Caenorhabditis elegans: one gene and its partners. The protein of the gene in region 3 purifies or fractionates together with the protein of the main gene of each other region. This does not show direct contact. Each region holds a gene or a part of one and is shown on either strand. Other genes may lie near its edges.

The links. Proteins that work in one complex are often made in the same cells at the same time.
Region 1: the proteins of act-4 (region 3) and tiam-1 purify together in Caenorhabditis elegans (affinity purification with western blotting, with the first as the bait; one study listed by BioGRID). This does not show direct contact.
Region 2: the proteins of act-4 (region 3) and dma-1 purify together in Caenorhabditis elegans (affinity purification with western blotting, with the first as the bait; one study listed by BioGRID). This does not show direct contact.

The regions. Positions count from the first base shown.
Region 1 is NC_003279.8:4,407,703-4,412,723, reverse strand, and holds the start of tiam-1 (DH domain-containing protein), read right to left. Parts: upstream 3,036-5,021; 5' UTR 2,948-3,035; intron 1,854-2,947; exon of another isoform or gene 1,664-1,853; intron 969-1,663; 5' UTR 923-968; coding exon 855-922; intron 709-854; exon of another isoform or gene 623-708; intron 500-622; exon of another isoform or gene 430-499; coding exon of another isoform or gene 183-429; intron 128-182; coding exon of another isoform or gene 19-127; intron 1-18. Other genes in the region: T21E12.5 (Guided entry of tail-anchored proteins factor 1), read left to right, coding at 19-127, 183-429.
Region 2 is NC_003279.8:8,280,337-8,285,012, reverse strand, and holds dma-1 (LRRCT domain-containing protein), read right to left. Parts: upstream 3,045-4,676; 5' UTR 2,948-3,044; coding exon 2,744-2,947; intron 2,668-2,743; coding exon 1,836-2,667; intron 1,684-1,835; coding exon 1,499-1,683; intron 1,402-1,498; coding exon 1,273-1,401; intron 1,224-1,272; coding exon 1,116-1,223; intron 1,069-1,115; coding exon 715-1,068; 3' UTR 536-714; downstream 1-535.
Region 3 is NC_003284.9:4,958,669-4,964,944, reverse strand, and holds act-4 (Actin-4), read right to left. Parts: upstream 4,325-6,276; 5' UTR 4,284-4,324; coding exon 4,227-4,283; intron 2,146-4,226; coding exon 1,411-2,145; intron 1,355-1,410; coding exon 1,176-1,354; intron 1,121-1,175; coding exon 961-1,120; 3' UTR 532-960; downstream 1-531. Other genes in the region: M03F4.6 (EB domain-containing protein), read left to right, coding at 335-439. UniProt on the Caenorhabditis elegans protein: Actins are highly conserved proteins that are involved in various types of cell motility and are ubiquitously expressed in all eukaryotic cells.

The sequences.
Region 1 (5,021 bases), on a different chromosome or scaffold from region 3:
AAAATCAATAATTTCCAGCAATCCACACATTGGAAGAAATGCAACAAGTTGAAGACGAAGAAGCTCTGATGCATATAAAATGCTTCATCCTTTTATTGTGGTCATTTTCAGTTTACACTCTTATCACGTTAGTTTTTTATTTGAATTTCTACAGTTTTTCAGCAATTCCAAAATTTTTCCAGAGAAATGACAAAGATCATGCTGCTCAATGAGAAAATTCGAATTCTCGAATCAGTGAGACATCGTTCGAAAATGGAGTCAACTCTTTCACTTATTCGACAAAAATCATATTTCGACGCGTACGCCTCTGATTTTATTATTCGAAATCAGCAAAACGAGAAAATCAATACGGTTAAAGATGAAATGGATGCAGAAGAAATGGTACATCATTTGGTTCATGGAATGAATCCTCATAAAAATTCTTATTGAATAATTAATGTCGCTTTTCAGTTTTTATAGATTATTTAAGTTTTTTGTAATAAAGATTTGCGTTGATAAAGTTTAAATTTGAATAATTTAACTGAAAAACCTTTTTTCTATTATTTATAGCAGAAACTAAAATTTTGAATGTTTCAATGTAAAAGTTGGTTTTATTCTTCTCCACTGTCTTTTTTTCCGAAACAAAGTGTCTAGTTGACGAAAATTAATGACATCTCGGTCAGAATCTTGTCTATTTTTTGTCCCCCTCATCCAATCTACAATTTGTCAAATACCAATTCCCCTTCGCACACTCTTTTTGTTTATTCTAACCATAACTATAATATCTATCTTTTTTCAGAGTGTTAGAATAATAAACACGAACCAACTGTGTGAATGACAAGTAGTGATAGATATTTCTCAAAGAAAAAACAAACCTCAATGTAGATTCATCATTCGTCCAGCATTCGGCTTGTGAGCAAGAACATGAGAGGCGTGAGCCCATTCTGATTTGAACGCGGTTCTCTCTCACTGACAACAGAATGGAATTCCTGGAAAAAAAAAATTAGGATTGAATAATTCTGGCAAAAAAACTATGTTATTCTGTTAACAGCGAAGTTGGAAAAAGTTTTATATGTTGCAGAGAGAACAGAAAATATTCAAAAAATTTTGAAAATAGGCGAGAACAGGTATATCTACAAAAATGTGGATCAGGAATTTCAATTTTTCCATAACGAAAATTGTAATATATTTTTTATTGTTCTAATTAATTCTAAAAGCTTAAATCATTTTTTTTTGTTTAAAAATTTCAAAAATGTTCTAGAAAAAACAGCAGATTTTCGGGGATCCTAAAATGCGCCTGGAGAAAATCTTTGAGCCAGTGGAAACTTTTTCATAAATACAAATTTGTAAGCTTTTGAAAAGTTTCTGATAATCTTTTGGTAAATTGCCAAAGTTACTGAAAATTTGGTTTTTTACCGCATGTTTGAACGCCCAAAATTTTAAAAAATTAAAACATAACAGAAAAATTAAAAGCACTATGGTTTTTAGCTATTCCTACATTGGTACACTTTTAACAAAATGAAAAAATAAATTTCTTGATTATAATTTTAAAAACTAACAATCATCATAAGAAGATGAATGAAGAAAAAATTTAAAATTCAAAACTCATTTTGACCACACGAAATGGCTCGAAAAACAACAAACACTAAATTATGCTTCACACCAAAAATTTTGCGGATAGGCTTCTTCCCCACATCCCCCTTCTCTTCTTCACACCAAAAATGAAAAATGAGTGCCGAGCGGACTCTTGGTGCTCTTTTACTAAGAAGGAGCCCCCTCTTCTTAAAAGATGACACTTAATTTGTGACTAAAAGGAAACCCTGAATAGCACATCTGAAAATAGGATTTTTACGGGGGAAAGGGAGAAGTGGTGTTGAATGAAAACAATGGTTAAATACAATGAAAAGAATTGAAGGAGGAGAGGGGCTTTGACATAACTATTATGATTTGGATGGGGTGTGGCAGACAGAAGAAGGAAGAGAAGAAGTCATCTGTATGCAAATTATGTAAAAACGTGTCATCTTTTGAATTTAACTATTTTCAGATGATATAAGAACACACCTTGAATTATCAATAGGCGTTCTAATCCACTTGGATTATGAAATTAAGATTTATAGCTTCCAGGAACTATACACTTTTTTTCAAATTTTGAAATATAATAGAAATGTCAAAATCTCAAAAATTCTTATACCAGTTAAATTAATTTGAACAGCAGATTTCGCAAGGTGGCTTGAAAAAAGGAGAATCGACCAGTAAGGTTTCGCCTCCGAAAAATTTGGTTTTATGTAGACACATTTCTCATTCAAAATTTAAAAACATAGATTCTTAGGTGATCATTGTATACAGTTCCGAATGACCGCTGGCACAATTATAGTTGACTTCAATTTAAAATGAGGACTTTGTATAAATACACTCAACATGACCAAATTTCATAAATAAATACTTCAAAAAATTTTGCCAAGTTTTGGTAAATTGCCAACTAATAGAACAGTTTGAAATTTAAAAAAATTAGAACATTGCTGCAGGTTTGAGCTTTTGAAATTTTCAAAAATAAATTATTTAAAAACGTAATTAAAAACGTATTTAAAATACAAATCTCATAGAAATTTTTAATAAAAGTTCCTAGGAATCAGAAATTGCCATTATTTGGCTGCTATTTCAACAATTTTTTTAAGGAAAGTTTCACTACATGGTCGAGGCTTTTTTGTTTGATTTTCTACCACGAACTGTTCTGAAATTAGCTTTCAAAAATGACTGCAACAATTATATGAAACCGACTTTCGAAAAACTGCACGTGGTCTAGTTTTCTCTATTTTGGCTACGTAGAAGCTCAAAACCTTGGCACACCAAACTGTGAGAACTTATGTTTTCTATGCTAGAAATATTTTTTTAATGGTCATGTAGATACAAAGTGGTGAATAAAGTTTCAATAATTTATTAGTACAATTCTACGCTTCCAATTTCTCACCGTATTTTCGATTCCTGACAAACTGAAACTGAATCATCAGCGTCTTCTTTTTATTTTGCTTTTCTCTGATTGTTTCTTGTTTTTCTCTGTAAAAAATATAAATTTTTAGTTGTTTTTATTATTACTACATACAGAAAGGAAAATGACGCGGAAAATGCGAGCAGAAGAGTGAGAGAAATTTTATTGGAAGAATAATTACTATTTTAGATTAAAAAAAGAATTAGGGATTAAATGAGATAAATGTAAACTTCAGTGAATTTGTTCAAAAAATATTTTTTTTCAATCATGTACCGTTTTCAAATCTTTTAAAAATCTTTCAAGTTTCCTACAGGTTAGTGCAAACTGCTTTTTTAAAATAAAATTTCGATGAATTCAAAAAAAAATTTTGATGACTAAATTTATTGAATTTAAGTTTTTAAAAAAGTATATGAAGAACTCCAAATTTGAAGAAAAATTCTCGAATAAAAGCACTCAAAATGCCCGTGGGGAAAGATGTGTAAATAAGCAAACAAAACTCGAAAAATAAATTGAATTCCAAAATTTTCCAAGAATTTTGCTCATTTTCGAGCTCTCATTGGCACATACACTTGTCTTTCAATCAGCTTCAGCTCGAACCAAAAAAACTAGTGCTGCAAATGAGTAGAAAACAAAAAAACAGAGAGAGAAATGGAATTAGGGGTGTAAGAAGAAAAAAGTAAACGAGAAGTAGGGGGTGGAACAAAAATGCAAAAAAAAGAGAACATTTGTCCCCCGATGGGAATTGGAAAGAGCAAAACTGAATTTTCAGTTGAAGAATTTTAAAGTGAAGAAGGCGAAAAAAGTTAAATTGCAAATCGAATGGGTTCAATTTCTGTTGAGCCAGAGAGCCACATACTAACGCGTTTACGAGCTCGTTGAGCTGTGAACAAAAACATGTTAGTCTCTTTTATATACCTGTTCTGCAAGATGTGTTCAATGTAGGAGGTTGTAAAAAATCAATCGATTTTTGCTTCAGAGAAATCTAGGCCATTGGAAAACTTTTAGGAAAAGTTCCATTTGGAAAAATAGAAAATTTTTGGTTTTGAGACGAAAACAACTGTACAGCAGAAAAGCCAAAAATAATGAAAAAATATATTTTATTAAAAAATTGTAATGTGTGCGGCGAATTCGACAAGTCCACATTTTTGAAATTCGCCGAGCTCGGCAAACTGCAAATTTGGCAAATTTGCCGCACACCCCTGTTGTACAGTTAGTTTACAAGGTTTTTGTCCGGGATTTTGAGAATTGGCATTACAAAATGCTAACATCGCTAAAGAAATTAAATTTTAAACTCGCTCAAAAATTGTTGAAACTCCTTGGAATACGAATCTGCAGATTTTTAGGTTAAAAAGTAATAAACATATAGTAAAAACTTGACAATAGCAAAATTCGGGTATGAAAAATTTTTAGGCAACCACGTTTTGTGCAAAGATATGCTCTTCTAGGTGGTCCATGATTTTGTGAACTTTTTAAGCTAGAGAAAACTCGGCCATCTGAGCATGTAAAAATGGCCCGCCATGTCTCTTCAAATCTTCATAAAAATCAGGAAACATGCCGAACCAAAAAACATGAAGATTTATAAATCCTAAATACAATTCTCGAGACCACTCATTGAGGACAAAATTACGCCGACACCGCCCCGGGAGGTGGTCAAATGCCATTTGGATTGGCGGTTGTGTAATTGACATGATAATGGGGAGAAAAACGTAGAAACGAATATCCAGCGAGATTATTAGCAATGATGCAGAAAACGACGATGAAAAAAAAAAGAAAAGAGCGCGGCGCGGGAAGGGGCAAAAAGTTTTCGGGATGCAAAGATTCTTTTGGTGAGATATGGAACACAAGAATTTTGGATTTGACTGACTGCGAACTTGTAGAATATAACATTCCTGGAGATATATAGGAAGACAGGTAGGTCAAAAGTTTTCAAAGCTAACTCTGAAACTGAAGGCAGAAATTGTCAAACTCTCAATAAAGGATTGCAGCCTCATCTAGATTTCTAAATGAAAATCGTATTTTCAGAAAGAGGGCCTATAACATATGTTCCTTTAAAAAA
Region 2 (4,676 bases), on a different chromosome or scaffold from region 3:
AACACCGATCCGTCATTTTTCATAGTTATGTCTTGTTCTTCGTGGTCATCTATCCAACTTAATTGGCATTGGCTTACTCCAATTGTTTTGGGTGTCACTTGGGAATCTAACGGATGAGACGACGTGTCATAACAGATTGTGCAATCTACATCCACGAATTCGCGCGCGTGTGCACATACATACGCACATCAATTTATTATTCGAATGGCTCATAAACTCATAAATTAACGAGTCCCTGTCGAACAACCAATTTTCAATTCATAAACGTCAAAATTTTGTGGCTACGGAGATTTTCCCGCGGAGTTTTTTTAAACGAAAAAGTCAACTCTCCTTCTCGAAACCTTCTCAATTATGCATTTGTCTTGGTGTGCATTTGACAAATGAGTTGACCCCCACAGAGAACCAGGGCGTAAAGACAACAGCCTCGCCGATTTATTACTTCTTTGCCGACGGATTTACGGCCGAGAAGAGGTGTCTTACCTCTTGAAAACTACTATTATGCTGCTGATTAAGGCTCCTGTCTATTTCATTGAACTTGGTATATCTACGAGCAGTTTATTTTATTTACAGACAAAGGGTTAAACAATTGAACACCGTATCGAAAAAGGGGGCAAAAATACATGAAAATGGGGCTGGGAGATCGAACGACTAGATGGATGCAAATAATCACACGGATTTAGATTTTTGAAACATTTGAAACTCTCAAAAGGATATTTAAATGCCAAAATAGGATGATCCAGGTTTTGGAGGTGCTGGTGGAATCAATGGAGGAGTGGCTTTAAATGTTTCAGTACTAACCAAGAATGGATCAAATGGTGGTGATAATGGACCATGTGTATCATTTGTACTCGAAGAGCAACTATGTGTGTTTGCCATCGTGAGTGGAGTTCGAGAGTGTTCTCGTGTCACATATGATCCTTTGTACTGTCGCTCACGAAGGAAATAGATGCATCCAAGAATCATAAGAAGTAGTGCGGCAAAAAGGAGAACTCCTGCGAGAAGTATGAGCATTTCACTTGTTTGCGTTAATCCATACCGTGCACCAAACAAAACGGCACAGTCGTTTACCTGAAGTTTTTAAATAGTGAAATTAATAACGTGAATGTGAATCTTACGTCGGTAATTGCCAGAACTGAATGACCTTCCACAAGCGATGGTGTCGCGCATCGGACATTATCGTAGTTGAGAATGTGTCTCATCGCATAACGATCTCGCATATGAACCTGAAAAGATGTTCGAATTAATTCAGAAATAAGAGAGGAAAAGACTCACTTGAAGTCCTTGAATAGCACATGAACAATCCCAAGGATTTCCATCTACGTACACTTGTTCAACATTATTTAGGAATGCCAAATCTGTATGCGAGAAGGTGTGGAATCGGTTGGCTGTGATGTCGAAAGTCTAAAGAAATCTCAGTGAGCAGGTTTCAAATGACATGCGTGTCCCCATATAAGGGGGTCCACAAACGCTTCGAATTTCGTATAGAAAATGGACATACTTTCACATTTGGAAGCAAAGTGTTGATATTGTCAGGCAAATAAGTCAATTCATTTCCGGAAATGTTCAATGAAATCAGGTGGTAATAGCGAGACGGCAGCTGTACCGGGATGAATTTGATGTGGTTGTAGGCCAGTTCGAGATGAATCAACGACTTCAATGTATAGGTCCATGACTCCTCGAAATCTAAAATTACAAATTAATTATGCCATCTCTAGTAACTTTGAAAAACCGTTCTTCAAATTTAAAAATCGGAAAAACTTTTAAATTAAAAACAATCTAAAAAGTTTTAAAAATCTAGTTTTGGGGTTATTTTAACTTTTGCTACAAAAACTCACTTTTCAAGAAATTTCCTGACAATGCAATCGAAGTCAGCTCTTCTTGTGCCCATCCCAACCATTTTGAGTCAAAATCATTCATATGATTGAATGACAAATCCAGATGACGTAATGGCATCGTTCGGAACGCATCCTCGTTAAACGGAGAGTCTTTCGAAATTCCGAGCAAATTGTGGGAAAGATCCAATTTTGAGATATTCGTATTGCAAAATGCACAGGCTGTGATTTCTTGAATGGAATTGTGAGACAAGTCGAGAACAGAAAGTTGAGGAAGAGATCTCAGTTCTTTAGTTGGAACCATTTTGAGATTATTTCCTCCGATTCCAAGTTGACGGAGTTGAGGAATACGATCAAGAGCCAGAGAATAAATTGATGAAAGATTGCAATGATTCAAATATAATTCATCCAATTGGGAAACATCTGTGAATAACTCATTGATGTGTTCAATTGGAATAGGATTCCGGTCTAGTCGTAGAACTCGAAGAGAATTGAGACCTCGAAGTAAATTTGTAGAAAGATCACTGATAGTATTATTGGATAGAGACAATGATCGCAGGGCTCTAAGATATGTGAATACTCCAGTTGGAAGAATATTCAAATGATTCGATGATAAATCCAATACTCGAAGTTTTGGCATACCACCAAAGTTGCTCATTGTCGCATGCTCAATATTGTTTGAGTGTAGATCTAATACTTCCAAAGATGGCAGTCGAATGGATCGGGACATTGCTGGAATCTGACAATTGATGAGACGAAGAACTCGAAGCTGTGCAAAACGGTTTATGTTGTCATTCCATCGAAGTTTGTTAGAACCAATGCGATTTGAGGGCGGCTAAAACAATTTATGTAAATGAAGGGATTAGATTGACGGACGGACGTTGTGGTTTTAGATCTTATCGTTTACTAACCTGAATATGAAGTGATCGAAGAGTCAACGGAAGTTGGTTTAGAATTTCCGCGTAAATCGTATCGTTTATGATTGCCTTTCGACAATAAACACTCCAAGACGAGTCATTTTGATCGCATTCACAAAGATTCGGACATGATGATGGTAGTGCAATAGAGCATAATACCAAAAAACTTAAAAATAAAAGCAAAATGTATGAAATCATTGTTCCAATTCGGAACAAAGAATCCTTGACTTCTCCAGAAGACAAACAACACAGCAGCTAGAAGCAGCAAACGTGAGGCAAAACACCATGAGAAGGCGAAGGGGACGGGCGGATAAAGGGGCGGGGCTTAAGGCGAAGGAGGGTCAACAGAGACACCACCCATGGGAAGAAGAAGAAGAAGGATGACCGGATAGAAGAGGAAGAAGCAATGTGTGCCTGACAGCACCACCTAATGTTGTTTTCATGTACCAGAGGGTGGCAATTATCACACCACTAAAAGAAAATCTATTCCCGCTTCAGGCGTTTTTGGCGTCGGGTGGTGGATGCTTGAGTTTTCTTGGAAGCAAGAGGGTGTTTGACTGAATATAATAGTTCTAAAAAATTTCAGAACCATCTCCAAGGACGAAGTTGAGCTTATCTATGTGAAGATCTATGTAATATCATTATCATCTGAGCTCAAGCAAAACTTTGCTCCTAAAATCTCAACGTCATGCTAAGGTTTCTGATGGAGATTGCATTCACGAACTTATCATATATTCATGAGGTTCTGTTAAATTGTGCAGCTCCACTCGCCCCCGTTCTCGATTGCACCCGGCTGTTCCCTAGATTTCTTCAATTTTCCCTTCAAAGTGATTTTACGAAAGCTCCAAATTATAGAGAATGCTCTAAAGTGATTCAAACGGGCATTGAAAAAAAACAAACGTCTTCCTGTAATAGTGGTCAAGGATGCCAGATGTGAAAGGGTGGGCATCACCAAATGTCAGCAGGCAGGCGCTTTTCGTTTACGACTTGCCCTTTTATTGGTGTACCCGTGTGTGTGTGTGTGGTAATAAAAGGTGATGGTGACTCTTTTCTCTGGATAGTGTTCATATTGACTATGGTGCGAAGATAATTGAGCAGAAGATGACGACGACAAGTGGTGGGAGAAGACAAGCATCGGAATTGTCGACGACATATGGTTCAAATTTGGTGGTAATTCATCCGTCATATCGAGTACCACAGAATACACTTGGCATCGAATAAAGGATCCTGTGGACAAATAATGAGCTGTTTTTTATCCGGTCAACCGAGGGGAATACTGTAAATTCAATTAGAGGAATACGGTACTTTACAGTAAATATCCATACCGTGTCATAAAAGCTTTACGAAGTATTTTCATGAAAAACGTTCTTATAAAATTATGCTTAATTTCGCATACTGATTCTTATCCGACGATTCGGTAAATCATAAAGACCAATGACTAATGCAAGAGACCTCTCAAACTGTATGTCAACACCCAATCAATCTCATTGCAAGATATTCCCGTCAGCATCCAAAACCCAAAGAAAGTGTCAAATTGCTCCTTCCAACACATTTTCGCTTATAAACTCATTAATCAAAATGTTCAATTTCCGTTTGAGATTGAATCTTTTCCGGGTTGTCGGCAAACTTTAACCCAATTCCACCGCATTCGTTGTCTTTCGCTCTTCCAAGCCCGCTCATCACAGACAGACCAATTAAGATGGTGTGAATCTCGGTGAGCACCCGCGTTCGGTTATCCTCGTGTGGAGTGACGAACACCACGGCTGTCACTATCGGAAGTGTGTGTTTGGGGTAATTTATCCACACACCGATTGACATGTCACACAAGCTCTCGCACTCTTTTCATTTATCACACCTGAAGAAAGTGTTGGCGTATGTGTGTGAGGATTTGCGCATTGTGTTGCGGTGCCCTTCAAATGTTTGATGT
Region 3 (6,276 bases):
TGATTCACTTTAATTAGATACCTTATTTATTTTATAAAAATGCTATATTCATGTGGCAATGTTTCGACTTGTAGAAAATGAATAATAGGCTGCGTCCATATCCTGTTTTTTTCCGTTAAAAATATTTTTTCAAACATTGTATGATATATTTTTAATAACATACTTGAGTAAAACAAAATGAGACACTAATCATAAAAGCGGATCAAGAATTCCATGAATTTTTTTAATTTTTGTTGTACATTTTGTGTTCAATTCTTATTTTAAACTCAAAAAACAACATATTTTTCTAAGATTTGTTGTTTTAGTTTAAAAAAACTCACCTTCTAAATTACAGGATCAACTACTAGGAGTCCGTTGCACAAATCCAGATGATCCGCTCAGTATTGGCTCAATTTTGGACCGCGTCGGAGACATCTTCGGAAACAAACAAGGCAAATAATCTGTGTTCCGTAACAGCTACTCACTTCATCTCTCCTCCGGGTTGAATTTTCTTTATTTGTATTTTTTACATTAGATAAACTTGATCAATTTGTCTTATTAAAAGCTTTATTATGAATGTGGCTCAAATAATGAGCATGATTCAGAGAAAAAATGGTTTAAAATGTCAATTTTGTAATGAGAAAATGGGGGTCATCGGCAGTAATAGGGTACAACAACAAAAGTGATTGCATTAAACCTCAACTTCAAACCAAAGATACACAGAGAACCTAGTTATACATGCCTAGATTACTACCGGAATAGTATTGAACAAATACAAGAGAAGTTACCAATGAAGATTTGGGTGAGAATGGGAAGCATAATGCAGTCGGCTAGAGAAGTTGGAACTATTACTAGCAATGTACACGGAGAGGGTGAAGAAAAAAAAAAGAGAAAATAAAAAAAATGTAAAAGGATGGTCTGGATGGGTTGCGGGATAATACGAACTTCTTTTGAGCGTTGTGGGTGGAAGGGGCAAAAAATTTAGAAGCACTTGCGGTGGACAATCGATGGGCCGGACTCGTCGTACTCTTGCTTGGAGATCCACATCTGTTGGAAGGTGGAGAGGGAGGCGAGGATGGATCCTCCGATCCAGACGGAGTACTTGCGCTCTGGTGGGGCGATGATCTTGATCTTCATGGTGCTGAAAAAATAGAAAGTAAATATTAGTTCTTGAAATCCATTTAAGTTAAACTTACGATGGGGCAAGAGCGGTGATTTCCTTCTGCATACGATCGGCGATTCCTGGGTACATGGTGGTTCCTCCGGAAAGGACGGTGTTGGCGTACAAGTCCTTACGGATATCAATGTCGCACTTCATGATGGAGTTGTAAGAAGTCTCGTGGATTCCGGCAGACTCCATACCCAAGAAGGATGGCTGAAATGAATAGGAATTAATTTTATGTTTAGCTAGAGGTGCAAATATTTTCTTACCTGGAAGAGAGCCTCTGGGCAACGGAAACGCTCGTTTCCAACGGTGATGACCTGTCCGTCAGGAAGTTCGTAGGACTTCTCGAGGGAAGATGAGGAGGCAGCGGTGGCCATTTCTTGCTCGAAGTCGAGGGCGACATAGCAGAGCTTCTCCTTGATGTCACGGACAATCTCGCGTTCAGCGGTGGTGGTGAAGGAGTAACCGCGCTCAGTGAGGATCTTCATGAGGTAGTCAGTAAGATCACGTCCGGCAAGATCGAGACGGAGGATGGCGTGTGGGAGGGCATATCCTTCGTAGATTGGGACGGTGTGGGTGACACCATCTCCAGAGTCGAGGACGACTCCGGTGGTACGTCCGGAAGCGTAGAGGGAGAGCACGGCCTGGATGGCGACGTACATGGCTGGGGTGTTGAAGGTCTCGAACATGATTTGGGTCATCTTTTCTCTGTTGGCCTTTGGATTGAGTGGAGCCTCAGTGAGGAGGACTGGATGCTCTTCTGGGGCAACACGGAGCTCGTTGTAGAAGGTGTGATGCCAGATCTTCTCCATATCGTCCCAGTTGGTGACGATTCCGTGCTCAATTGGGTACTTGAGGGTAAGGATACCTCTCTTGGACTGGGCTTCGTCTCCGACGTAGGAGTCCTTCTGTCCCATACCGACCATCACACCTTGATGTCTTGGGCGTCCAACGATGGATGGGAAGACAGCGCGTGGAGCATCGTCTCCGGCGAATCCGGCCTGAAATTATCAATTTTTGTTTCAATATATCCCATGATGACCCCTAGATAAGAAATGAATACTCTCGTTAGGTCTTTCAAGAATGTCCATTATATTTACATTGCAAAGAGAGAAGGTTGCGGCGAGAATTCGGTCGAGATTTGGCAGAGCGCAGTGAGTCCGCGCACGAGCGAGAGCAGTGCAAACACAAAAGGCCCATTCCCCTATTCTCAAAATGCCCTCTCTCGCTCTACTCCTCTAGTTCACGGTTGATATCGAATGAAGTACTTTTTCCGAGAACGCTTTGGTGTGTGGTGAGCGGCGACAACGCTCAACAGATGTGTGTATGTCTCTCTGTGTTTGTGTGTGTGTGTGTGTGTGTGTGTGTGTGTGTGTGAGAGAGTGTGCCCAGCGCTCGCTTACCCCCGTGTTGGTCGCAGGGGCCTGCTGCTGCCACTGGCCCCGTTTTTTTTTACCCACTCAGATCCATTTCGCAATCCAATTGCGCTGTTGAATAATGAGATAGGAAACGGGGCGAATGGGAGGCCATCAGCAGCACTGAGAAGCGGGGCATTCGGGCACTAAGACAGATTTCGAAATGCATTGAGTCATCGTCTACACACCAAGAGCACCAGATGTGAGCGTGTCAGTTTTTTGATTTCAAATGGAAATTGTGGAAAATTGAATTAGAATGGGAAGGGGGACATTTTGATGATGAAAGTCCCTGATGACCATTGCATTTGTACAATCCTATCCCGGTCACTTACTCTCTCCCCGTTCATCCTAATCGCACTTTTCGCCTCCTACTACTTGGCCTCAATCGGACTCTCATGTCTAGATTGCGCATATTCATTTCTATCAATCAATATAGTGAGGATTGACAAAAGGTGGCATTTCTTGGCCTTGACAGTCCGTCCGTCCCTTCTTGTGTCCTATCCGTCTCCCATCCGTTCGGCTGTTGGCGTGGTGGTAGTCATTCAACAAGAGAGGCCGAATGGAGGGAAACCGCCGCCCTGCATACAGTGATGCGAGGAGGATACAAGGGCACACTTGACCAACACACTGTCAAGATTAGCGATTAGCGGCAGCCTCTTTTCTGACACATATATATAAATAAATCCGGGAAGGGTTCGCCAATACCATCGGAATCTCACACTCTCAGACACTCACACACATCTTGTTTCCTAGGGCCACAAATTAGCCAAGTAGCACTATTGAGGGTGGTGCGGATAATTGATGTTCGCGTTGCGCTTCTTCGTTCCCAAATTATACTTAATGAGGATTGCAAAGTGAGGTGGTTGCAAATAAAGATACCCGTCGTGGATAGACAAAAAACTACTGGCTTTTGACGACGAAAAAAATCGCTGTTCTTGTTGAATGGTTTGCCTCTCTTTCTATCTTATGGGGTTGCTAATCTACTGGCGAAATCTCTATTCAACTATTGCCACTGCCCTCTCGGAATGTGCATTACACTACTGTTGGCTGGTCGTGATATATCCCATTGTACGAAGGAAACGTCGCGGACGTTCCCTCAACGGACGGCCTCTCCTCACACACCATTGCAAATGCGCATCGGGTCGGGGTCGGGTTGGCCCCTCTCCAACAATACTCTACATACACTAAAAACATATCCTTGCGACGATTCCTTTTTTCTTCCCCCCCCTTACATATTCTCCCAGTGGGATGAAAAAGGGGCGCGTGGCGCCAGATTTGAAAATGGGAGGGAGCGAGTGACCGCGCGCAGGTGTTGACGGACGATATGAATCACCACCCACTACTACTACAACTGTTGCCATAATTATTTGCGAAACAATGCAAATCGAAACGTTGAGAAGGAATAGAAATTCAAAATCCTTATGCGGCAGGGAAACAACTTTTTATACAATGCAATGGAATTATTCCTAGGTTGTTGGAAATTTTAAACCCAAATGAAAAGTAAATTTGAGACATGGAGTTGGAATAAGCGCAGTTAAAACTAACAAAATAAAATTTTCCAAAATTTCTAAATCTTATATTCAAATGTTTCTAGAGCAGTTAAGATTGCATAATATTGTTTTAAACCTTTGTCCCTAATTAGAATTATTCAAATGTTATCAACTCACCTTGCACATTCCGGATCCATTGTCCACCACAAGAGCGGCAACCTCGTCGTCACACATTTTTTTGGGAACTGAAAGCGGGTGCCTAGTGAAAAACCAGTGCACAACTCTGCCTCTCGTGGCCTATTTATACTGCTGCACGCGACGCGTCCGCGCCGCTCTTTGCCATTGGTCGGCTGGCCCCGCCCAACCGAATGAGGGATTGAGGGAATACTGGAGAGCGGCCATCCGACAGACGGTCCTCGGAAGGGCGGGACACGGAGGGAAAAACAGTGTGGTGGTGGTGTCCTGGAAAATTTGAATTGGGGGACCGCGTCGCGCCTTCCCGCCTCGAAGATGAGGCGTTCGGCAGAGCGCAACGTGAGAAAAACGCCTAAAAATGTTTTGTAATTATGAAATTGGTCAGTGAAAAGCGAACGGCCGTTCGGTTTTTAAGGGATAATTTGATAAGGAACCGTAAGATTTTAATGTTGCAAAACAATTGCAGACGTCGTGGCACTGCAGACTAAAGATGTTCTCAGAACTCTTTTCTTGCCATACTTAGTGATATATTCGAATCTAGAATTAATCTTTTTGTCATCAATATCAGGAAAAGCGAGGTTTTTTAACTGTAAGTTGGTAATGAAGGAACCGTATTTTCCAATATATCGATGGTCTCTAGTTTTATTAAGAAATGATTCAATGTTCAAATGTAGAAAAAAATTTGACACGTATTTTGTCAAAGTGGAGCATGACGTGCCAGTGTTAAAGGAAAATTCCTCATGTTTTCAACACTTTTTGTACTTCAAAGTATATCTGAAAATGATTTTGTTTCAAATCACAACAAAGCAAAATTTCTGAAAATTGTATTAGTCATCAATTTCTATTCTTGGATATTGTCACATGTTCGATTTTTGAATTTATATGATTCAACAATTTGTTTTTTTTTTCTGTATTCCGCCGGAATATAATCTTTGAGCGAGAGGGTTTAGATTTTTTTTCTCCAAAAAGTTTGAATTGTTTCCATTGAATTAGCTGCCCTGCTTTCTCGGTGTTACACTGCAAGTTTTGCTTTCAACTGCACAATGCGGGGGAGATGAGAAGCGGGAAGAGCGGAGCATCATCAGGAACCATCAACAACATGTTACCTCTCGGGGTCCAGTTTTATTGGTTGCGAAGAAAACGAACAAAGTGCCGAGAAAGAGGGACCTGATTAAATGGGTTCGCAATTTAATTAGTATCACCCAGAAAACTCATTGAGATTCTTTTTTTTTCAAAACATAGTGGTCAAATTGGTTTCCTCTTCCCCCCCCCCCCCCCCCCTCAACCGTGCGCGGTGTTCTCCCAATGTTTCACATCCAACTTTTCCCGAATAAGAACAAAAAAATAGTTTTCCATTTCGTTACAAAACATGAAGCGTGTCCTCTTTTGATGAGTAATCGTCGTATAGAAAAATATGAGAAACAATGACGGAAGGCAAAAAAAAGGAAATGTTATGTTTAGAAATGAAGTAAAATGTCACTGATGATTCAGAAACGGGGGGCATCGACGTTCTGTTTACGAATGTGTTCCACAGCTTTTTTTTGTGAGAACGATTGACCCAACAAGGGATCAGATGACATCACTTCATGCCCACCATAAAGCACAAATGCACTATAGGTTCTTTCAATACACTATGGCATGTTTATACACACTTGCTGTCTACTCTTCATTCTTAAGAGCACATTGTGTGTGTGTGTGTGTGTGTGCTCGTTTCAGACTTTCTCAGAATTGGTAAACTGGAAAATTTTGAACACCGCAGCTTGAGTTTACACTAACACAATGTCAAAATTCCCAAGGTTTATGAAAAGTCTGAACTTTTATGATCACCAATGTATATCAGAGGTGCGAGACAAAAATTGAAAATGTCAAGAAATTGCCAACTTTCAGTTACTGAGCCTTAAGTATCATTTTAATGGGGTTGATGTTTTAGAGAAATTCAAATTAATCTGAAATATTTGGAAATTTCAAATTTTTACAAGATTTTAGACAAGAAAAATTTCAACTTTGCAAACATTGTCCCACAATAAATCTA